Macaca fascicularis: one gene and its partners. The main gene of each other region encodes a partner of the protein of the gene in region 3 in a complex. Links are inferred from orthologs where the notes say so. Each region holds a gene or a part of one and is shown on either strand. Other genes may lie near its edges.

What was found.
Region 1: the proteins of GIGYF1 (region 3) and EIF4E2 are in contact, whole or in part, in a crystal structure (PDB 5NVK), measured with the Homo sapiens proteins. The link is inferred for Macaca fascicularis from reciprocal best matches to the Homo sapiens genes GIGYF1 and EIF4E2. Residues at the interface, in NP_001362694.1 of Homo sapiens: Leu36, Ala37, Asp38, Tyr39, Arg40, Tyr41, Gly42, Arg43, Met46, Leu47, Leu49, Tyr50, Glu53, Asn54, Lys55, Val56, Pro57, Glu59, Leu60, Glu64, Phe65, Ala67, Val68, Leu69, Gln70, Asp71, Glu72, Pro73, Leu74, Gln75; in NP_004837.1 of Homo sapiens: His54, Pro55, Leu56, Gln57, Tyr64, Lys83, Gln84, Ile85, Gly86, Val91, Glu92, Trp95, Arg96, Phe97, Tyr98, Ser99, His100, Met101, Val102, Arg103, Leu107, Phe113, Ile137, Arg138, Leu139, Arg140, Gly142, Leu143, Ser145, Arg146.
Region 2: the proteins of GIGYF1 (region 3) and TNRC6C are in contact, whole or in part, in a crystal structure (PDB 7RUQ), measured with the Homo sapiens proteins. The link is inferred for Macaca fascicularis from reciprocal best matches to the Homo sapiens genes GIGYF1 and TNRC6C. Residues at the interface, in NP_001362694.1 of Homo sapiens: Tyr479, Asp481, Pro482, Gln487, Phe490, Trp498, Tyr503, Phe504, Leu508; in NP_001136112.2 of Homo sapiens: Arg1719, Pro1720, Pro1721, Pro1722, Gly1723, Leu1724, Thr1725.

What each region holds. Positions count from the first base shown.
Region 1 is NC_088386.1:128,464,877-128,472,495, reverse strand, and holds the start of EIF4E2 (eukaryotic translation initiation factor 4E type 2), read right to left. Parts: upstream 4,674-7,619; 5' UTR 4,623-4,673; coding exon 4,603-4,622; intron 4,281-4,602; exon of another isoform or gene 4,134-4,280; coding exon of another isoform or gene 4,129-4,133; intron 1-4,128. UniProt on the Homo sapiens protein: Recognizes and binds the 7-methylguanosine-containing mRNA cap during an early step in the initiation. Acts as a repressor of translation initiation.
Region 2 is NC_088390.1:84,517,372-84,524,450, reverse strand, and holds part of TNRC6C (trinucleotide repeat-containing gene 6C protein), read right to left. Parts: intron 6,881-7,079; coding exon 6,713-6,880; intron 4,763-6,712; coding exon 4,571-4,762; intron 4,067-4,570; coding exon 3,923-4,066; intron 1-3,922. UniProt on the Homo sapiens protein: Plays a role in RNA-mediated gene silencing by micro-RNAs (miRNAs). Required for miRNA-dependent translational repression of complementary mRNAs by argonaute family proteins.
Region 3 is NC_088377.1:49,283,022-49,290,699, forward strand, and holds the start of GIGYF1 (GRB10-interacting GYF protein 1), read right to left. Parts: upstream 4,756-7,678; 5' UTR 4,623-4,755; exon of another isoform or gene 4,444-4,622; intron 93-4,443; exon of another isoform or gene 1-92. UniProt on the Homo sapiens protein: May act cooperatively with GRB10 to regulate tyrosine kinase receptor signaling. May increase IGF1 receptor phosphorylation under IGF1 stimulation as well as phosphorylation of IRS1 and SHC1.

The DNA of each region.
Region 1 (7,619 bases), on a different chromosome or scaffold from region 3:
ATCTCTCCAATCATCTTTCTTGCCCCAATAACTATATATGTGGTCAAATGAAATTAGGCAGTTCTCAAGAATGGTACAAGAAATGCTCCAATTATAATTCAGATACTATCCTATTCAGATACATAAACATGTTGCAGGGTACTTTGTGTTTTTTTTTTTTTTTTTTGCCCATGAATCCCCAGTGCCTGATACATTAAAAGCACACAATAAATATTAGAATGAATGCACTAGTCACATGTTGGGGTCCCTGCTCTCCCCATTTCACAGGCCTAGCTGTAGGATAATCTCAGGAGGTTATGCCCTGTGCCATGAACCTTCCCATCCCTACCCTGGTCAAGACACAACTAGGAAGGGCACCTGACCAAAGGGCAGTCCAGCCCGGGCAATAACCTATGCCCCAGGGCCTTGCTCAAATATATAAGCAGATTCCTCCCCTCAGCATTCATCTAGGAGGAGAAAGATCATAGACTTAGGAGTTGCGGCAGCCATATGCGCCCCATGCAAGAAAAGCCCTGAAAGAATTAAGACAATGAGCAAAAGCAGAGAAAGCCAGGAGATAAGAGATAAGAAAGCCAGGAGATAAGAGAATGGGGCAGATGAGCAGAGAAAATGCAGGGGACTTTCATTTTGTTGCTGGTGCTACCATCTCTCTGGCTTTTATTCAGCCTCCCTGGACTTTCAGGAGACCATCATCTGCGCTTATGATATTCCCTTCCCCTTTATTAAACATTTGGTTTCCTTTTCAAAAGGAGTCTGTCTAGCACACAAGATCTATGGATTAAAAATTACCAACATCTACCAAGCATCTATGGTGTGTATGAGCTACCAGAGTGCTTGTCCCCAAGGACCCAGCTGAGGAGAAAAGGTTCACAGATATATCCATGCCTCAGCACGGTGCAAAGGCCCCTGCTCTGCTCACATGTCCCAATATCATCTCCTTCCTGGTCCCAACGAACTCTTTTCACTCCAGTTGTATCATCGTAATTTTGATGCCCCAATTTTATCCTTCTGCTGTGCTCATCATGTGGTCTCTCCTCAAGAAGTCCTTCTTTGCCTAGTTAACTTGTCCTACAGGACTCAGATCGAGGGCCACTTTCTCTTGGAAACATTTCCTAACCTCTCCCGACCTAGGCTAAGTTGGGCTCTCCTCTTCTGAACTTCCCCATATAAATGTTTGCACTTGTTCCAGCTATACTCTCATGGCCAGTTCTGTCTCCTGATCAAGAACATCTCAAGGGTTCTTCTGCTTAGGCCCAGGACAGCTCTCAACTCTCTTCTTTAGGGCACACCCCTAGGATGCAAACCCTATTCCTCTCTTCTTAGCTTCCAACTCCCACTATAGCCTCTGGGGTCCCTTGCATTTAGATCTTGGTTGAAGAGGGGTATAGTCATCCCAGCATCTTGTTTTTGCTAGTCCCAAGAAAAGCATATACCTTCCTTTCTTTTTAGTGGTTTTGCTGCTTATCACTACCAGGAAACAGAGAAAAAACTAACAAAAATAATTGTCAGAGAAGAAACAATGTTCCTGTGATCCCTGGACCACTTCGGATTCCTTTCTAAGACAGTAAATGGGAACCCTAATGGACCTACACCTAGTGCTTTTATTACCTGAGGGTGGAACTAACCAACTACTCTGCCCTCTAAGCCTATATTTAAGGCAAATCTTATAAGCTACTCTTCCCAGCTTCAAGCTGGATTTGAGTCAAGATACCACTCAGCCTGAAAAATCAGTGCTCTGTAAACTCAGGCAGTCAGGTAGCAACTCTGAGGCTGTCCAGACTGAGAGGAACTTTAGTTAGCTTGCTAAGCTTCTGCCCAGGTATTTCCTCACCCTCTGAACTAGACCAATTCCTTGTGGGCAAGACCTTGGTTCAATTCATCTTTATACCCCCACCATCAGACAGTGGCATAAAACAAATTTCCATTTAATGAATGGGTCTATAGAATCAAAGCAATGAGTGCCAAATACGTGGTTTAGACAATAGTTAGGAATGGGCCCAAAGTTAACGATACAGAATAAAAAGCAAATGATGTAGAATACGGACAAAATCAAGTACAGTGGTCTAGATCTGAAAACCATGTTTAACTACGTCAGGACTGCAGTTTTTGTGAAAGCATCTTAGGGTTTTACATATCAATAGGATCACTGGCAATGCAATCTAAGGACTTGATAGGTCTACCCCCTCTCCACAAAAGCAATTATAATCAAAGGTTTCATTCAGAGAAGTTGAGTCCATACAGTAACGGAGATTAGAGCTAATCTTTAATATGAGCCCATTAGATTATATACTACTGTACTCAGCTCCAGCCACTGGACTTCTGGAAGAATTCTGGCAAACTGGAACATGTCCTTAAGAGCAATGTGGTAAAGAGTGCAGATTAGTAAAGAGAGCAATGTGATAAAGACTCCAAATATGCAGCAATGGCCTAAAAACTGCAGAATTTCTGAATGAAAAACAACATAAAAAAATAAAACTAGGGGCAGGAGTGCTGTTTTCAATTGCTAATTTCAAATGAAAGAAAGCTTGTTTTTCTTCTTCCTGCAATGCTAGAGGGTAGATGTTAAAAGATTCTGGCTCAATATAATAGTTAATAATTCAAAGTGATTAAAATGACCCAGGTTCTTCAATCATAGAAGAGCTAAGATAAAAAAGTGGACAAGTTTAATTTTTCTCACAAGGTGCTTGAACCAAGGTTACACAACAAACCTGGGATAGCCCTTCCTTTCCTGTTGTCTTGGGCATTACTTAATCTCAGAGTCTCCTTTTCCTTATCTGTAAAAGGAGATAACAAGATCCCCTTCACAGAGTTGTTAGAGTAGAAATAACATATGAGGCTGGGGGTGGTGGCTCCCGCCTGTAATCTCAGCACTTTGGGAGGCCAAGGTGGGTGGATCTCTTGAGTCCAGGAATTGGACATCAGCCTGGGCAACATGGTGAAACCCTGTCTCTACAAAAAATACAAAAAAATTAGCCAGGCAGGGTGGCACATGCTTGTAGTCCCAGCTACTCTGGAGGCTGAGATGGTAGGATTGCTGGTGCCCGGGAGGTTGAGTGGGCAGTGAGCTGTGATCACACCACTGCACTCCAGCCAGGGTGACACAGTGAGACCCTGGCTCAAAAAACATATATATATGAAAAGTACCTAGCAAGATCCCTGTGGAAGTCCATTATTACCATTCTTACTGCAGACCCCCAAATGATTTAGGTAGGCCTGAGCTAGATGACCCATAAGATGTCTTCTTAGGATGAAATTTGGTTTGTGCAAATCAGTGGAGGAAGGGGTATAAAGGTTCCAGAAAGCTCCACTGAGGCAGGATGTGGATCTGGAACTAGGTGTTGCAGGGTTTACGATAGAGATGAAATGGGACGGCAGTGTGGGAGAGGTTCGTAGAGGGATAGGCTCAGTTAAACCTAAGGATAGAGAAGAGGTCGGGCAAAGACTTTCTCAAGTAGCAGAGACCTCTCAGCAACCAGCAAACATGCCTGAGGACCTACCTGCCTGGAGTGTTGGAAATCCAGTACTCTTTGAATTTGCACAGTACTCTCTGCATTGGAAAAACCCTAATTTCCCATCAAAAGCACAAGATCACAACCTAAACTAATAGTAGTTCCACTTTACGTTTATATCTCAGTAGTTAGCAATGTTTCACAAATATCTTTAAGCATTGCTGAGTGTGATTTGACCCTTATCACACCCCGCTGTGGCAGCAGGGTACTAACCACTAACGTGGTTTGAGAAACAATGGCTCAGAGACTGGGTAACTTTTCCACAGTCAAACAGCTGGTAAGTGGTGAATCTGGGACTACAAATCCAGGCTTTCAGATGAAGAGGCAGATTTACTAGACTACTGGAACAGAGGTAGGAACATATTCTACCTCAAGATACAATCCTTGGAGGGGAATAAGTAAAAATACTTCTGCATTTTCCCTCTGTACCTCCAAACTGTTTGATGCTGAAACTAGAAACCGGAGCGGGCAAGAGAGGGCGACAAGTATACCCAAGTCTTGGCGAGTGTGTTGGAAGACGGGAACGGGAGTGGGAGGAGAAAGAAAGTAGGAAGAGTCTCAGGAAGATGCTAATTCCTAAGCCAGCCTTCCACCGCGTCGAGGGCAGCCGCCACATTACCTCATTGCATCCTCCAAACTCTACGACAAAGGGTGTTACCGTCCCCACTCTGCAGATGAGAAAACTGAGGCTCAGAGGGGAGAGGGAGTGTGTGGGGAAAGCTGGATTCAGAGACAGCGCGGCCAGACTGCGGAAACACCCAAACCGCCGAGGTCCCCACCCCTCCACGTCGTCGGCAATCCGCATCCACCGGGGCGGGGCGTCCGAAAATCTCCCCCTACCGGGCGGCACAGCCACCCCTCCCCCGGGCTCAGCTCTTCGCCCTCGGTTCGGACGGCCCTGGGGTCTCCGGGACCCCGGGATCCATCGCTCCCCAGCCCCCTCCTCCCCGCCAGCCCAGGCCAGGTCCGGCCGCAGCCTGATCCCGGCAGGGAAGCCGGGGCCGCCGGGTTTGCGCCGCCCTAGCCCCAGTGGGGGCGGGCGCGGGGGAACTGTTGGGGGAAGGGGCCCCGGGGGCGGCCACGAGCCACTCACGCGTCGAACTTGTTGTTCATCCTCTCGCCGCGGCTGTCGCCACTGCCTCAGGGAGTGACTTCCGCTCCACCGGGTCCCTCAGCCTTAGGCCCGGGTACTTCCGGTTTTGCGCGGGGCACAGCGGAACGTCCACGCGCAGGCCCGGTTTGGGGGCGTCTATCTCGGGACGCCAGCCCAGGGCGGCTGCGCAGAGGGTTGGCCTCAGCGGCGGAGCTGGCTTCAGGTCTCAGCTTTGTCGCCGTCCAGGTCCTGTGACCTGCCCGCTCTCCTAAGGGAGCGTGTCCAGGCGCCCTCCTGCAGCGCCTCCGAAAAAAGGCAGCACCGCGTCGTTGACAGCGCGGGCTCTGGACTCGCTGCCTGGTAAAAACCCTCCTCCTCCTCCAGTGCCGGACGCACTCTCCGGTATCTCTCTTAACCTTCCCGAGGCTTTCCTTTGGCGGCAGCGCCACTATACTATGGCATACCTCGTTTTATTGCGCTTCGCAGATAGGACTTTCTAAAAACAAATTGAGGGTTTGTGGCAGCCCTGAGTCCAGCAATTGTATTAGCGCCATTTTTCCAACAGCATGTGTTCACTTCGTGTCTCTGTGTTACATTTTGGTAATTCTCAAAATATTTCAAACTTTTCATGATTTCTGTGTCTGTTATGGTGATCTATGATCAGTGATCTTTGATGTTGCTATTGTTTTGGGGTGCCACATACAGCGTCTTTTATAAGACCGCGAACTTAATGTTGTGTGTGTTCTGACTGCTCCACCCACAGATTGTTCCCCATCTTTCTCCCTCTTCTTGGGCCTCTCTATTCCCTGAGACACAACAATATTGAGATTAGGCGAATTAATAACTCTGCAATGGCCTCTAAGTGCTCAAGTGAAAGGAAGAGTCGCACGTCTCTCACTTTAAATCAAAAACTAGAAATGATTAAACTCAGTGAGGAAGGTATGTCAAAAGCCGATATAGGCCGAAGGCTAGGCCTCCTGCGGCAAACAGTTAGCCAAGTTGTAAATGCAAAGGAAAAGTTCTTGAAGGAAGTTAAAAGTGCTACTCCAATGAACACACGAATGATAAGAAAGCGAAACAGCCTTATTGCTGATATGGAGAAAGTTTTAGTGGTCTGGATAGAAGATCAGACCAGCCACAACATTCCCTTAAGCCAAAGCCTAATCCAGAACAAGGCCCTAACTCTCTTCAACTCTATGAAAGCTGAGAGAGGTGTGGAAGCCGCAGAAGAAAAGTTTGAAGCTAGCAGAGGTTGGTTCATGAGGTTTAAGGAAAGAAGCCGTTTCCACAACATAAAAGCACAGGGTGAAGCAGCTAGTGCTGATGTAGAAGCTGCAGCAAGTTATCCAGAAGCTTTGGCTAAGATCATTGATGAAGGTGGCTACACTAAACAACAGATTTTCAATGTAGATGAAACAGCCTTCTGTTGGAAGAAGATGCCATCTAGGACTTTCATAGCTAGAGAGGAGAAGTCAGTGCCTGGCTTCAAAGCTTCAAAGGACAGGCTGACTCTCTTGTTGGGGGCTAATGCAGCTGGTGACTTTAAGTTGAAGCCAATGCTTTGTTTACCATTCTGAAAATCCTAGGGCCCTTAAGAATTATACTAAATCTACTCTACCTGTGCTATATAAATGGAACAGCAAAGCCCGGATGACAGCACATCTGTTTACAGTGTGGTTTACTGAATACTTTAAACCCACTGTTGAGACCTACTGCTCAGAAAAGAAGATTCCTTTCAAAATATTACTGCTCATTGACAATGCCCCTAGTCATCCAAGAGCTCTGATGGAGATATACAAGGAGATTAATGTTGTTTTCATGCCCGCTAACACAACATCCATTCTGCAGCCCATGGATCAAGGAGTAATTTCGACCTTCAAGTCTTATTATTTGAGAAATACGTTTCATAAGGCTCTAGCTGCCATGGATAGAGATGTCTCTGATGGATCTGGGCAAAGCAAATTGAAAACCTTCTGGAAAGGATTCACCATTTTAGATGCCATTAAAAACATTCGTGATTCATGGGAGGAGGTCAAAATGTCAACATTAACAGGAGTTTGGAAGAAGTTGATTCCCACCCTCATTGATGACTATGATGGGTTCAAGACTTCAGTGGAGGAAGTAAGTGCAGATGTGGTGGAAATAGCAAGAGAACTAGAATTAGAAGTAGAGCCTAGAGATGTAACTGAATTGCTGCAGTCTCATGATAAAACTGTAACGGATAAGGAGCTGTTTCTTATGGATGCACAAAGAAAGTGGTTTCTTGAGATGGAATCTACACCTGGTGAAGATGCTGTGAACATTGTTGAAATGACAACAAAGGATTTAGAATATTACATAAACTTAGTTGACAAAGCAGCAGCAGGGTTTGAGAGGATTGACTCCAATTTTGAAAGAAGTTCTACTGTGGGCAAAATGCTATCAAACAGCATCGCATGCTACAGAGAAATCTTTCATGAAAGGAAGAGTCAATTGATGAGACAAACTGCACTGATGTCTTATTTTAAGAAATTGCCACAGCCACCCCAACCTTCAGCAGCCACCACCCTGACCAGTCAGCAGCCATCAACCTCGAGGCAAGACCCTCCACCAGCAAAAAGAGTACGACTCACTGAAGGCTCAGATTGATCATTAGCATTTTTAGCAATAAAGTATTTTAAAATTTAGGTATGTATATTGTTTTATTAGAAAATGCTATTGCACTCTTGCTAGTCTACAGTATAGTGTAAACATAACTTTTATGTGCATTGGGAAACCAAAAACATTCATGTGACTTGCTTTCTTGTGTTGGTCTGGAACTGAACCTGGTATATCTTTGAGGTATACGTCTTCCTACCTCCTCAGGTTACTATATGGATCCCATGAGACAGTAACCTATAGTAATGGCAGCCAATTTGAGTGCTTACTGTGTACAAGGAGCTAATCCTCTGCCTTCTGAGGCTTTCAGAGAGGTTGAGAGACTTGTGCCAGATACACAGCTAGTAAGGGGCTTATGGGAAGCTGAAATGACCCCACTG
Region 2 (7,079 bases), on a different chromosome or scaffold from region 3:
AGCAAGGTGGTGGCGGTGTCCGGGTTCGTGACTCTAACTGCGGGGTGTGAGAATCTTAACCATCAAGAATCAACCTCTCCCTAGGCTGCCATTTTTAATAGAAGCCTGAACATGAAAGTGTCATGTGGGAAGGAAGAAACAGGGCATGCCTCCTATTCTGGGTCCCTGTAGCCACTCAGGGAGGCCTGGGATGTTGCTGAAGGCGGAGGAATCAAAGGGCAAGAAGCAGCATGAGCTTCTTTGAGAATTCCCGCCAGAATGCTTAAAATGCCATGTCAGAGTTTTAAAGCACCACATTGATTTCCTCTCCCAAATAAGATAAAATAAAAATCCAGGGCAATCTACTCCTTTCACAGTTCAAACAATGGCTACAAAATAGAAGAACAAAACTCCAAGCCATTCATTACAAAATGTGCCATAAAAATTTGAACATTTCTTCTGACTGGGGTGTCCCATCAGCTTCCGAACTCGTATTTTGCTTAAAAAAATTTTTTTTTTTAGAGATGGGGCTGTTGCTATGTCACCCACACTGCAGCACAGTTGCTATGTCACCCACACTGCAGCACAGTGGCTGTTCACAGGCGTGATCACAGTGCACAGCAGCCTCAACCTCCTGGGCTGGGTGATCCTCTTGCCTCAGCCTCCTGAGCGGCAGGGATCACAGATGCCACCACACCCGGCTCATGATTCCCTTTTTAAATACATGAATAATTAAAAGACATCTGTCCTAATAACTGTGTATATGGACTTGAGTTATTCTATCCCTAGGACTGTAGTTTTCTGAGGAAAGCTCGTCCCTGTGCCTGAAAGGGAGACTTGGGGTAAATGGGCCATCCTTCAGGCACCTCGATCCCTTGTGTGAAAGCTCAGCTCCTCGCTGCTTGGTTTTATTTTGTATTTTCTAATGTGGCTCTCCCTTTCAATTCTGTGAAGAAAGCAAGAAGCTGGAGAAGAGTGAGGACGGAGTAACGGTGACAGCTGGGGTGAATGCAGAATGGAAAGAGCTCTCATTGGGACAATAACTCTGCAGGGCATGGATCCTGGCTAGCAGAGGGAACATAAGCACAGTCTGGCTGTTAAACTGATGACCACACACAGAATCGGATGGTTTCTGAAAAGCCATGGCATCTCAGCTGTAGGCCCACATGACGTTGTGCAGTGAATAACCAGGCGTGTGGCACTTCCTGGACACATGCAGTGTCCAACCTGCACAGTTGTTTGCAGCTGCCCTGCTGCAAGTGACCTCTTTAGAATGAGGGCACCAGAGTTGAGGAAAGTTAGCATTTATGGGTAATCTGCAGGTCTTCACTTTTATTTTTTCCAATTTTTATTTTGGGTTCTGGGAGTACACGTGCGGGTCTGTCACACAGGTGGACTGTGTGTTGTGGGGGTGTGTTGTAGAGATCATTCCATCACCTAGATAGTGAGCATGGTACCTGACAGGAAGTTTTTCAATCCTCCCCTTCCTCCCACCCTCTACCCTCCAACAGGCCCGCTGTCTGCTGCTCCCTTCTTTGTGTTATGTCAACTCAGGCTGTCTGTTTTCTGTTCCTGTGTTAATTTGCTCAGGAAGGTCTTTACTTTAAAAAGGTGTCAGCTTGACCAGGCGCAGTGGCTCAGGCATGTAATCCCAGCACTTTGGGAGGCCTTTTCTTTTCTTTTTTTTTTTTTTTTGAGACGAAGTCTTGCTGTGTCACCCAGGCTAGAGTGCAGTGGCCCAATCACAGCTCACTGCAGTCCTGACATCCCAAGCTCAAGTGATTCTCCTGTCTCAGCCTCCTGAGTAGCTGGAACCACCGATGTGTGCCACTACACCCAGCTAATGTTTTCATTTTAAATTTTTTGTAGAGATAGGGTCTCATTATATTGCCCAGCTGGTTTCAAATTCCTGGCCTCAAGTGATTCTCCCACCTTGGCCTCCCAAAGTGCTGGGATTACAGGTGTGAGCCACTGTGCTCAGCCTGCTAGTGCTTTCTGGTTAGCAACTTCTACGTGAAGAGATGTTCATTGTACTACCCTTTCTTTCAGTAACAAACCCTAATGTATCCTTAAATACAACCAAGAGAGGTACCAGAGTGGAGGAACAAGGTTCCTAGTGCTGGTCATGAGCTGAAGGGGAGGCCTGGCATGAGCCACCTGAGCTGGCTGCTGCTGAATACTGATGTTTGTGCACAAGTGCCAGGGCAGGCTCAAGACCCAAACATCAAGCACCCGGGAAGTCAAACGATGTTCACTTGGAGCTACAAGTCACCCAGGTTGGCTGGCTGGCTGGTTCTTAGGCTCAGGGTTGGAGATGCCACTGCCTTGCCTTATCTCAATGGCCAATGCATTTCTTAGGCTGAGGTTCTCTTCTGCCCTCCCCGCAAGTTGATTTCCTTAACTGGACAGGCTATGGAGCTGGAGGACAGCTGCATGTGGAGCTGGAGAACAGCTGCCACGTGTTTCTCAGGCCATCTTCATCACATCATGGTACACTCAGGCGATGGCGGAGGCCACTCCCAGTGGCCCTGGTTCTGCCTGGAGGCTAAGGGGCCACTTGATCCTTCATCTGGGCACCACTCAGGGAGCTCTGCCATGTATTAAGCAACTTCGATTCTTTCCAACTTCCCTTATGACCTGGATCTGTACAACCTGCATCCCACTTCTCCACAACCCTCAAAATATAACTTTCCTGTCTGGCACAACCCTGGTGCCCCACCAGGTATGACAAGCAGGGAGGGCTGGGTCTCTGATTCTGGCTGGCGCCTCACCTGTCCTCTGCCACACGGCTCCCTTTTGGGTACCACTTGACTGTGTCTGACAGCAGGGACACCCATAACACCCCTGCTCTGAAAAGCAGCTGCATCCGAAAAGCAGCTGTGTAACCCCAAGGAATACACAGCATTAAACAGACAGGGCAATCTGTACTCATGTTGGCCTTCCAGTCAAAGATACATTGAGAAGCCTATCACTTTAAAGAACCACAGAAGCAGTCAGATACACTGGCTCACGCCTGTAATCCTAGTACTTTTGGGAGGCCAAGTCAGGTGGATCACTTGAGGTCAGGAGTTCGAGATCAGCCTAGCCAACATGGTGAAACACCGTCTCTACTAAAAATAGAAAAAATTAGCTGGGTGTGGTGGTGCACACTGTAGTCCCAGCTACTCGGGAGGCTGAGGCATGAGAATCACTTGAGCCTGGGAGGCGGGCGGAGGTTGCGGTGAGCCAAGATCACGCTACTATACTCCAGCCTGGACAAACGAGCAAGAATCTGTCTCAAAAAAAAAAAAAAAAGAAAGAAAAGAAGCAAACACAAAACACAAGGCTCCAATGAGTCATATTTCAAGTGGGAAACTTAATGTTTTGGGAACTACCTAGGTGGCCTTATTAGTGGTAGTACCTATGGCAATCTAGCTCTTTCTTCCACAAAATAGCATGCTGTGATAAAACTTTGTCAGAGATGGCACTTTTATGATAAGACATTACTTATCAATAAATCCAGCAGCATGGGTCACACCTGAGGTCAGGAGTTCGAGACCAGCCTGACCAACATGGTGAAACCCTGTCTCTACTAAAAATACAAAAATCAGCCTGGTATGGTGGCACATGCCTGTAATTCCAGCTACTTGGGAGGCTGAGGCAGGAGAGTCGCTTGAACTCAGGAGGTGGAGGTTGCAGAGAGCTGAGATCGTGCCACTGCACTCCAGCCTGGGTGACAGAGTGAGACTTCATCTCAAAAAAAAAAAAAAAATTCCAGCAGAAACTCAAATTGATGTCCATTTTCCCATAAGCACTAACTGCCGTCTCTTCATGCTGCTTCAGATGACTGCTTCAACTGTGCCTTGTATCATCCCTGCCTCAGAGCCCAACCTGTCACCCCTGACATCTCCAAATGGGTCTAGAGAGACCGTCTGCGCAGAGGCAGGCAGAGCAGCACCCTCACCTCCACTCTTGAGGAGGTAGCGGTTGACATCCTGGATGGTGGTATTGATGGTAGGCCCAGTGGGGACACTGCCAGGAGTGACGTCAGGGTCATTCTCAGGGTCAATATTCTGTAGTCCTTTCCATGGAACTCCCGGATGGAATTCTGTTTAAGAAACCCAAATGAGAAGCCACAGATCAGAACATCTGCACATTGATTCATGACATTTTAAAAGATGTTTTGTCCTGTTTGTAGAAATTTTTATAATCTGCTAATTAAATGAGAGGTACACTTTATACTCTTGATACTCTCTTTCATTAAAACAATCAATCCTTTGGAACAAACTAGAACCAGGTATTCTAGCTATCATATTAAGATAGTTTTCACACAGAGTCGGAATAGTTTTACCAGATGGTATACAGTGTGCTTCCTCCCTGCCACCCCTTCCACTTCTCATGTTGAACTAAGGGATTACAGAAAAATGCCTGATGCTAACCATACCCAAAATTGATCTGACAAATGGATTTCCAAGGAAAATGCCAAAGCTCTGGGCTTAACGCTTCCAGATCCTTAGCTCAGATTCTGGGTCCTCCCAGCCTCATCACTCTCTGCAGGCTTGGAGCACGTTCTGACCTGCTGCTGTTGCACGGAAGTGTTGCACGGTCTTACCTGGGGGCCAGTTGATGCTAGAGCCATTTGAGATTTTATCACTGTCAGATTTGGCACGTGACCAGCTATGGGGAACAGCTACGGGAGGACTGGCTGGTGACTCACTGTTCTGGATTAAATCGTACCGGCCATAGGAGTCATCAATGGAGGACTTACCTGGAGGCCCAATGCTTAGACCTCCAGGGATAGCACCTATGGGGACAACAGGAAACAAAGAAGCGAGTGAATACCCTCCAGTTGAGAGACAGCAGAAGATACCCTAAGCCTCCCTATGCACCTTCTGTTCTAGGTCCAATGCCTTGCTCTATTCGGTTACATGAATTGTAAGACTTGGTCTGTCTAGGATTCTGTAAGAATCAATGACTTTTTTTTTTTTTTTGAGACAATGTCTCACTCTGTTGCCCAGGCTGGAGTGTAGTGATGTGATTAGGGCTCACTGCAGCCTCAAACTCCTGGGCTCAAGTGATCCTCCCACCTTGGCCTCCCAAGTAGCTGGGACTACAGGTGTGAGCCACCATGCCTGGCCAGTGACTATTTAAGCCAGCTCCAATTTCAGCCCTGAAAGACCGAAACCCCTGAAGAACAATTTTAGTTTGTCCAGTTAGAAATTTTTTTTTTTTTTTTTTTTTTTTTTGAGACGGAGTCTCACTCTGTCGCCCAGGCTGGAGTGCAGTGGCCGGATCTCAGCTCACTGCAAGCTCCGCCTCCCGGGTTCACGCCATTCTCCTGCCTCAGCCTCCCGAGTAGCTGGGACTACAGGCGCCCGCCGCCTCGCCCAGCTAGTTTTTTGTATTTTTTAGTAGAGACGGGGTTTCACCGTGTTAGCCAGGATGGTCTCGATCTCCTGACCTCGTGATCCGCCCATCTCGGCCTCCCAAAGTGCTGGGATTACAGGCTTGAGCCACTGCGCCCGGCCTGAAATCTTTATAAAATACATATCCATACCATGGGAAGCTGCCCTTAATAAACCTTTTTGGGGACAACTTATGAGTCTTTGTGATTAGTTATCAAATTTGCTCTTACCTCTTCCCTCCTTTTAGTCTGAAACCCTCACTATGGAAGAACACAGTGGATGTTAAAAATTCATACAGAACCAAACCAACTAGCCACAGGCAGCAAGGCCCTCCTGCTAAGAAAGGTGCCAGCAGTGTGTGATGATTTTCCGTAAGTTAACCATGAGACATAGTTTCCTTTTTCTTTTTTTTTTTTTTTTTTTTTGAGACGGAGCCTGGCTCTGCCGCCCAGGCTGGAGTGCAGTGGCCGGATCTCAGCTCACTGCAAGCTCCGCCTCCCGGGTTCCCGCCATTCTCCTGCCTCAGCCTCCGAGTAGCTGGGACTACAGGCGCCCGCCACCTCGCCCGGCTAGTTTTTTGTATTTTTTAGTAGAGACGGGGTTTCACCGTGTTAGCCAGGATGGTCTCGATCTCCTGACCTCGTGATCCACCCGCCCCGGCCTCCCAAAGTGCTGGGATTACAGGCTTGAGCCACCGCGCCCGGCCCATAGTTTCTTTTTTCTTTTTAGAATGCTTTGTATCAAGAGAGAACTACATAACCTATTGAATTTCCTTTGCTGTTTATTCTACCAGCAAGTTCAGAGCTAAATTTAATGCTTGAAAGTACCTCCTACGGGTATCATTTTTGCTTCCACCTTACTGGTGTGTCCATCGGTAACGAGTTCCTGATGGGGACACCAGTTTGGAGTAAGACAGACTGCTTGGATGGAGGGGAATAACCAACAGAAATGCACCCTAGTATTTACAGCTGCAGTTCCCATACATACTGCATATTTGATTTTCTATTTGTGTTTTACTATTTTATTGAAAATATTTCAGCAGACTCAAGTTTTTGTTGATGAATAGAGATATAAAAAAAAAAGTACATAGGCTATGACCTAGATTCTTTGCTGCTCTGGGGTTTTCAAATTATTTCTAGGTTTGTAGCTAAGATCTAATGGCTGGCTTTTAAGAAGTTTGATCACTGACTAGCTGAGATCTCATATGCACTATAACGGAATGGGTTATTTTAAATCCAACTTTCAGCGCTCAATTCTTAGAAAAGTATAGAATGGGCATGTTATACAACAGGAAGATCGATTAGTAAGCCAGCAGTGATTCCACCACAGGCATCCTAGCCCAGACGTACCATGCTTGCTAGGGTTCTGCTCCAGGGGGGAAGCGGCACTGGGCAAGTTATCCATGGAGTTGGGGTGCGTCCACTGGGGGAGGCGTGACTGGGACTGGGATGGGTCCTTCACCGACAAGCCACTGGTCATGTCCATGCTGTTGACATTCATGTTTGGGTTCAGTCCAGCTAAAGAGAGAGATGCCGATTAGGATTCACCTGCTCCTCTAAAAGACTTCATTCTAAAGCTCTCCTACAGAAGCTATTTCAGTCTTCGCTTACAGCAAATTTTTTTTTTGTTTTTTGAGACGGAGTCTTGCTCTTGTTGCCCGGGCTAGAGTGCAATGGCATGATCTTGGCTCACTGCAACCTCCGCTTCCTGGGTTTA
Region 3 (7,678 bases):
GGTCCAGGCGCTGCAGAGCTGTTGTCACTGGCTGGGAGGGAGGCTGGCCCGGCTTGGTGCTGCAGCTCCCATCAACTCCAGGACGCCACAGTCTGGGAAAGAAGAGGAAGGGGGTTCCACCAGGATGCTAAGGGGGAAAGGCCATCAGCCCCAGCTGAGCCAGCAGCCCATGACATGCCGAGGCCTGCTCAGAGTCCCAGCACCCCAGGGGGAACCACAGGGCTCAGAGGCAACCCAGGGCCAGGGTGGCCTCCCCTGGGGCCTCTCCCTCCTCAGCCTCGGGTGGATGCTCCGGTGGTGGTGTGCTCCACGCCACGCAAAGCCACCAGCCTGTCGCTGACTGCAGGTGGCCTCCTAGAGCAATCTGGGGACTGGATGAGACTTGAGGACATGATGCTAAGTGAAACAGACCAGCCAAAAAAGGAGAGTTAGACCTTACTTCTCTTTCATGAGGTCTCTAGAGGAGGCACTCACTGAGGGAGGAAGGTAGAAGGGCAGTCACCAGGGGCTGAGGGGACAGGGAACTGTTGCTGAAGGGCCCAGAGCTTCAACTGAGGAGCAGATCCTGGGGCCGCTGGTAGTCAGGGCCAGACACCAATGTGAGTGTACTCAGTGCCACAGAACAGCACAGTTAGAGACAGTTAAAGTATCCAAATTTTGTTGTACATTTTACCACAATAATCACTTTTTAAAAAAACCTTTAGGGAACAAAAGGTATCTGGAGATAACCACCGCATACCTAAGTTTTCCCCACTCCAAGAAAAACACCCCACATTCCTTCAAATCAGCCTCAGGAGAGGCTGTTTTGAGCCTCCTCCAGTTCATTCCTTCTAGAAGGCCTGAAGCTCATCCTGCAGGCATGAGGGTGGGAGAGGGTAGAACAGAAAAGGCACCACCTGGCCAGCACAATGGCTTATACCTATAATCCCAGTACTGTGGGAGGCTTGAAGAGAGAAGTCCGAGACCAGCCTGAGTAACAGAACAAGACCATGACTCTACAGAAACAATTCTAAACATTTTTTTAAAAAGAAAAAGCGGCCAGGCGTGGTGGCTCATGCCTGTAAACCCAGCACTTTGGGAGACCGAGGCAGGAAGATCACCTGAGGTCAGGAGTTTGAGACCAGCCTGGCCAACGTTGCAAAACTCTCTACTAAAAATACAAAAATTAGCCGGGCCTGGTGGTAGGTGCCTGTAATCCCAGCTACTTGGGCGGCTGAGGCAGGAGAATCGCTTGAACCCAGGAGGCGGAGGTTGCAGTGAGCCGAGATCGCGCCCCTACACTCCAGCCTGGGCAACAGAGCAAGACTGTCTCAAAAAACAAAAAAAATCTTAAAGTAATGGCCTCACACTGCCCCCTGCCAGGCGCAGCAAGGGCAGCTCTCCTGGGTTCCTCCCGCTGGAGTCCCCCATCCTGACTGTGTCTTAGCTGCAAGGGGCACACACAAGGGGGAGTGGCTCATGCAGCCTGAGGACAGCGACACCAAGACAAGGGAGAGAGCAGGCCCAGAGCAGGAAAAAGCCCATGCCACCTGCCTTCTTGGGAAGAAACCAGGAGACTGAGGTTAACTCTCTAGGTGCCCCCACAGCAGGGTCTGGTGCTGGAAGCTGGTAGTGCCTGGCCCCATCCTTGGACTAAAGGAACTAGTGGCGCAGCTGCAGGCTACCATGGGGCTCCCACCCTCCAACAGGTTCTGGACTCAGGGCCCCTCTGCTCCTCAGGGGGCTCCTGGCCAAGTCTGGAGATATTCTGGGCTGTCACCACTGGGCAGGGGGTGCACAGGGCATCCCCACAGCCAAGAGCTATGTGACTCCAGATTCCAAGCACGCCAGTGCTGAGATGCCCTCCTCTGCGCCACGAGCACGGGCAGAGCCCTCGGGGGTCTACTGGGCCAAGGGGAAGGCAAGGGAAGCCAGGTGTGTGCAAAGCTGGGTCACTCTCCTCTCTGAACAGCAGGGATATCATTCCCTAATTACACTGTCCCACGAGGGAAATCTGAAATCCTGCCAGGAGGAAATCTTTGAGAAAAGAACAGATTTTTTTTTTTTTTTTAAGAAAAACTGCCTAAGTTTGTCTATTGCAAGCTCTCAAAGCCAGGCATCTGATTCCTGTCCAATGAAGACAAGAGCAGGAGGTGGCGGGGGGGATGGGGGACCGCCACCTGCCCGCCTCAGCTTTTCCGGCTGAGCTTTCTCAGCTCAGGGTCTCCTCCTCACAGGCCCCTTCCAGCCTGTCCCCCGCCCTGGCCCTTCCCTCAAGCCTCGCCCCCTCCCCACCCCTTCTCTTTCTCAGGCCTGTCTACCCTCAGTCCCCCAGCATCTGAATCAATGCTTTTGAAAGACTGCCCCCTGCCGGAAACAAGGGGCGAGGACATGCTGGGCCTGGGTGCTCCAGCAGGCACCAGGGCGCGGGAAGGGAGCCCGCTCTCTGGGGCTCAGAACTCAAGGGAGAAGGAAAAGACGGAGAACAGGCGGTTCCAGTGCACATTCAGCTAAGAACATTATCTCCTCACTCCATCACCCCTAAAATTAGCTCCAACACGGAGCACTGTGCCTTGGCACAGAACAGTGCCACTTAAACAGAAGCAGAGTCCCCAGTTCCCCAACACTGGAGCCACCGCCCAGCCCCAGGCCTGCTGGAGGGGACCTGGGCCTTTCTCAGGATGGAGATTCTCCAAGCGTGGTAGGATGAAGACGCTGAGGCTTAAAGAAGAGATGCAAGCCCGCATTCCTGGCGGCTGGTCAGTTATCCCTGCTCTCTCCTCTCTGAGCCATCCCAACAAATCACACCACCGCTTGGCAACTGCCTACAAGTTAACAGTTTTTAAGCATTTTCACTCTTTACCTCCTGTGATCCCTTTTGCCCACTTGCCCAGCCATGGGCTCCAGCCAGGGAAAACAAGGAGGAAGCTGCTCCGACAGTGTGCCCCGACATCCTCGACACTCTATGGAATACTGGAGGTGTGCACGATGGCAGTAATGACCATCCCAAACTCTCAAGCGTTACTCTGTGAGTTTGAAGCCATTTCACATTTGTTAGACTTTCAACCTCCTTCATCTAGCCGCCTCCTCTCATCTTCTCTCCTCTATAGTGGGCTATTTTTCTTTTTTAATTCCCAAATTCTAATAGCACATGTAAAAGTTAGGGCTAACGCATCAGATCACGGACACAAGACTGATGTGTCCAACAGGAGAACAAGCTAGTTCAGAAGTTTAAGCACATGGTCCACTTGACTAACCACCCCATGGGACCCTCAGGGCCCCTGGTTCCCAGGCAATGGCAGGGACACCAAGTCCAGGTCTACCCCCAAATCCTTCCCAATGACACGACAGACCGCTGGGGTACCAAGACCTACAATCTAAGAAAATCAGATTAGAGCTGGCTAGCCTGGTGGAGGGTGGCTAGCCTAAGTCTGCAAAGGGCACAGGAAAGATGGGAAGGAGAAAGAACCCCAAATCCCCCATGTCGACAGCAAAGAAGAGACCCTTACTGGTACCACCGATGGTGTTTCCATGCCAAAGGCCAGGGGTTGGCGGGGTTCTAAATCGAAACTGCTATATGGACTCGAAGGGGCAGTGCAAAGAGGATGGGAAAGCGGACGATCTTCCAGAACAACACTTTGAAAGGCAAGAGGGAAGTAAGGCTTGGGTGATTGGAAAAAAAAAAAATTCAATCCAACTAACAAGTCTTTATGTAGCATCTCCCAGTTCCTGGCACTAGGATACAACAGACCTAGAGTCTCACCGGGAAAGCGAGTAATGACTGTGTAACAGAGGAGACAAACAAGGGGCTCTTAAAAAGTTACTTGGAAATTTTTTTTTTTTAAGGCAAGGTGTGAGAGCTGTGGCCAGGGAGCTGCTGCACCGAGGGTCATGAGCTGGGAAGGGCCTGGCCTGGGACGGGGAGGGAAAGCAGTCTCTACTATGGAAGGTGTTTCCCGCGGTTGTGCAACTGGGAAGGAGACCCCAATGACCCAGCACTAAGATCGCCGGAGCGAAAGGAAACGGAGGTGAGGAGGACTCAGGCGAGGTGCCTGGGTGGAGGAGAAGGCTTCCATGTTGGCCAAAGTCGTGGAAAGCTTGGACTTGGGGAACAGCAAGGCCCAGCTCCTTCCGAGGGGAACCCAAAGGCGCGCTGGGGAGAACTCCGGGGAGCGCGGGGCCCGGACACCTTAGGACGCTAGGGTCGGGGGCCCCCAGGCGGCCCACAGCAGGGCTTGGCAGAGGCCCGGGGGCGACCGTTAGGAGCGCGGGGGTGGAAGGCGGCGGGCCGGCCCGGGAGGACGGCGTGCCCTTCAGGGAGGGGCGCCAGGTGCGCGGGGGTCGAGCGGTCGCCCCCCAAGCCGGGCGCCGGCCTCCTGGGGCCTCCCCGAGGCTGGCCGGCTCTGGGGGAGGGTCCCGGCGGCGGGGAGGGGCCGGAGCGGGCGGGAGGGCGGGCGGACGCACCGGGCGGCGGCGGCAGCGGCCTCGGGGAGGAGACGGGGGAGGGTCCTCGTCGGCGGCCCGCGCGCTGGCTCCAGCGCTTCGCTAGCTCGCGGGCTCGGCGCGGCCGCCGCGGCGTCGGGGGCGGGCCTGCCCCGGGGCCGGGCTGTGAGCTGGGGGCCGCGGGAACGCCGGGCGCTTACCGCGGGCGGCGCAAGGGTCCGGTCCGGGGCGTGGGCGGCGCGCGGCGGGCTGGGGCCGGGGACGGCGGCGGCGACGGGGGAGGGGACGCTGGCGCTCCCGCGGCGGCCGCTCCTCTGTGTTTGTGTTTGTAGCAAGATGGCTGCCCGCCTCGCACCACGTGACGCGGACGCGGGGCCGCGGGGCCGCCCCCTCCTCCGCCGCCGCCGCCGCCGCCGCCTCCCTCCGCGGCTCCGGCCTGCGCCGCCTCTCCTCTTGCGCTCCTCGCGTGCCCCGCGCGCCGCTGTCCGGACGCCAGTCGCCCCCGACAGCCCCCACCTTCCCGCCCCGGCACGTGACCCGGGCGCCCGGCTGGTCACGTGACGTGGGCCCCTAACTGCGGGCGGGGTCGGCCCCGGAGCGGCCCCTTCTTCCCCACCTCCTCCGACCCTGCGACGCGCGACCCTTGGAACCGAGGCCGCGGCCTCCCTGGCGGTCCAGTTTCCTCCAGGAAGCCCGCCTGGATGACAGGAGACAATAAAATCCAGAACCCTTCATCAGGCGTCCTGGGATGTGTGAAATAAGTGGCTCAGGCAGATGAGTTGACTCTCAAGAGCCTCTTTTATTTTTTTTTCTTATTATTTATTTAATTATTGAGACAGCGTGTGGCTCTGTCGCCCAGGTTGGAGTGCAGTGGCGCGATCTCAGCTCACTGCAACCTCCACCTCCCGGGTTCAAGTGATTCTCGTGCCTCGGCCTCCCGAGTAGCTAGGATTACAGGCACACACCACCAAGTTCGGCTAAATTTTTGTATTTTTAGTAGTGAAGGGGTTCGCCATGTTGGCCAGGCTGGTCTAGAACTCCTGACCTCAAGTGATCTGCCTGCCTCGCCCTCCCAAAGTGCTGGGATTACAGGCGTGAGCCACCGCGCCCGGCCTCTATATATTTATTTTTTTGAAGCAGGGTCTCACTCTTGTCACCCAGGCTGCAGTGGACTAACCCGATCTCGGCTTACCGCAGCCACCAACTGCCATGTCTCAAGCGATCCTCACATCTCAGCCTCCCGAATTGATGGGACTATAGGTGTGCATCATAGTGCCCAGATAACTTTTTTATTCTCTGTAAAGATGGGGGCAGGTGGTGTGTCTCACAACATTGCCCAGGCTGGTCTTGAACTCCTGGCCTCAAGGGATCCTCCTGCCACAGGCTCTTGAATAGCTAGGACTACATCCGTGTGCCACCACACCCAACTAATTTTTAAAGTTTCTTGTTTGTGTGTTTTCCAAGACAGAGTCTTGCTGTCGCCCAGGCTGGAGTGCAGTGTCGCGATCACAGTTCACTGCATCCTCTTGCCCCCTGGGCTCAAGCAATCCTCCTGCCTCAAGTGCCCTGAGTAGCCAGGACTACCAGGGCACACCACCACACCCAGCTAATTTTTTTTTTTTTTTTTTTTGTAGAGACAGGTTTCCCCCATTTTGCCCAGGCTGGTCTTGAACTCCTGGACCCAAACGATCTTCCTCCCAAAGTCCTGGGATTACAGGCATGAGCCACCATGCCTGGCCTCTCAAAAGTCTCTGTTTCTCTTACAGAAAGATGTTAACACTGCTCTGCGCCCCACCCCCGACCCCCAACTCCACACTCTTCAGTGAGTGCTGTAAGAATTAAAATAAGTGAATGTGAAAGGCTTTGACAGGAGAGAAACTGCTATGCAAATGTGAGGTGACTGAAACCCCCTTTGTTTAAAAAGAGGACTTTTCAAGAACGACTGGCTGAACTTTTTCAGAGCTGCAAAGTTCCGCGTATGCTTTCACCTTTTTCATTGGAAGTTACTCCAGAATGTATACCTTACTGCTGTTGCCCAACACAATGTAATCCTCAAAACAAGGAAAAGGTAAGTTCATGACCTGGAATTTGAGTGCCTGGTGTCTTGCCATGATAGACTTCAGGAACTATTATACCTGGAACAACTTTTGTTTCCCCCACCAAGTACTACTAGGCTTCTCTGCACTTGGCGTTTTCCTGTTTTCCTTTTTTAACTGTTTTATTTATTTAAGAGACAGGGTCTTGCTCTGCTCCCCAGCCTGGAGTGCAGTGGCACAGTCATGGCTCACTGGGGCATCGACCTCCTAGGCTCAAGTGATCCTCCCTCCTTAGCCTCCCGAGTAGCTGGGACTGCAGGGAGTGGCACACCACTATGCCCAGGTATTTATTTATTTATTTATTTATTTATTTTGAGAAAGAGTCTCACTCTGTTGCCCAGGCTGGAGTGCAGTGGCGTGATCTCAGTTCACTGCAACCTCCGACCCCAGGTTCAAGCCATTCTCGTGCCTCAGCCTCCCAAGTAGCTGGGATTACAGGTGTGTGCTACCATGCCTGGGTAATTTTTGTATATTTAGTAGAGGGGGTTTCATCATGTTGGCCAGGTTGGTCTCAAACTCCTGAACTCAAGTGATCCACCTGCCTCAGCCTCCAAAAGTGCTGGGATTACATGTATGAGCACTGCGCCTGGTCTGGCTATTATTTTTCACTTTCAAATTTTTGTACAGACTGAAGTATCACGATGTTGCCCAGGCTCTTCTCGAACTCCTGGGCTCAAGGAGTCCTTCCATCTCGGCCTCCCAAAGTGTTGGGATTATAGGCGTGAGCCACTATGCCTGTCCTGCTGTCTGTTTTTATATTTTATTTAATTTTGAAATTTTTTTCAAGACAGAGTTTCGCTCTGTCGCCCAGGCTGGAGTACAGTGGCGTGATCTCAGCTCAGTGCAACGTCCATCTCCTGGGTTCAAATGATCCTCCCAACTCAGTCTCCTGAGTAGCTGAGACTACAGGTGGGCGCCACCATGCCCAGCTAATTTTTGTATTTTTAGTAGAGACAGAGTTTCACCATTTTGGCTGCCTCGGCCTCCCCAAGTGCTGGGATTACAGGTGTGAGCTGCCACACCCGGCTAATTTTTGTATTTTTAGTAGAGACGGGGTTTCACCATTTTGGCCAGGCTGGTCTTGAATTCCTGGCCTCAAGGGATCCTCCCACCTCAGCCTCCCAAAGTGTTGGGATTATAGGCATGAGCCACCGTGCCCT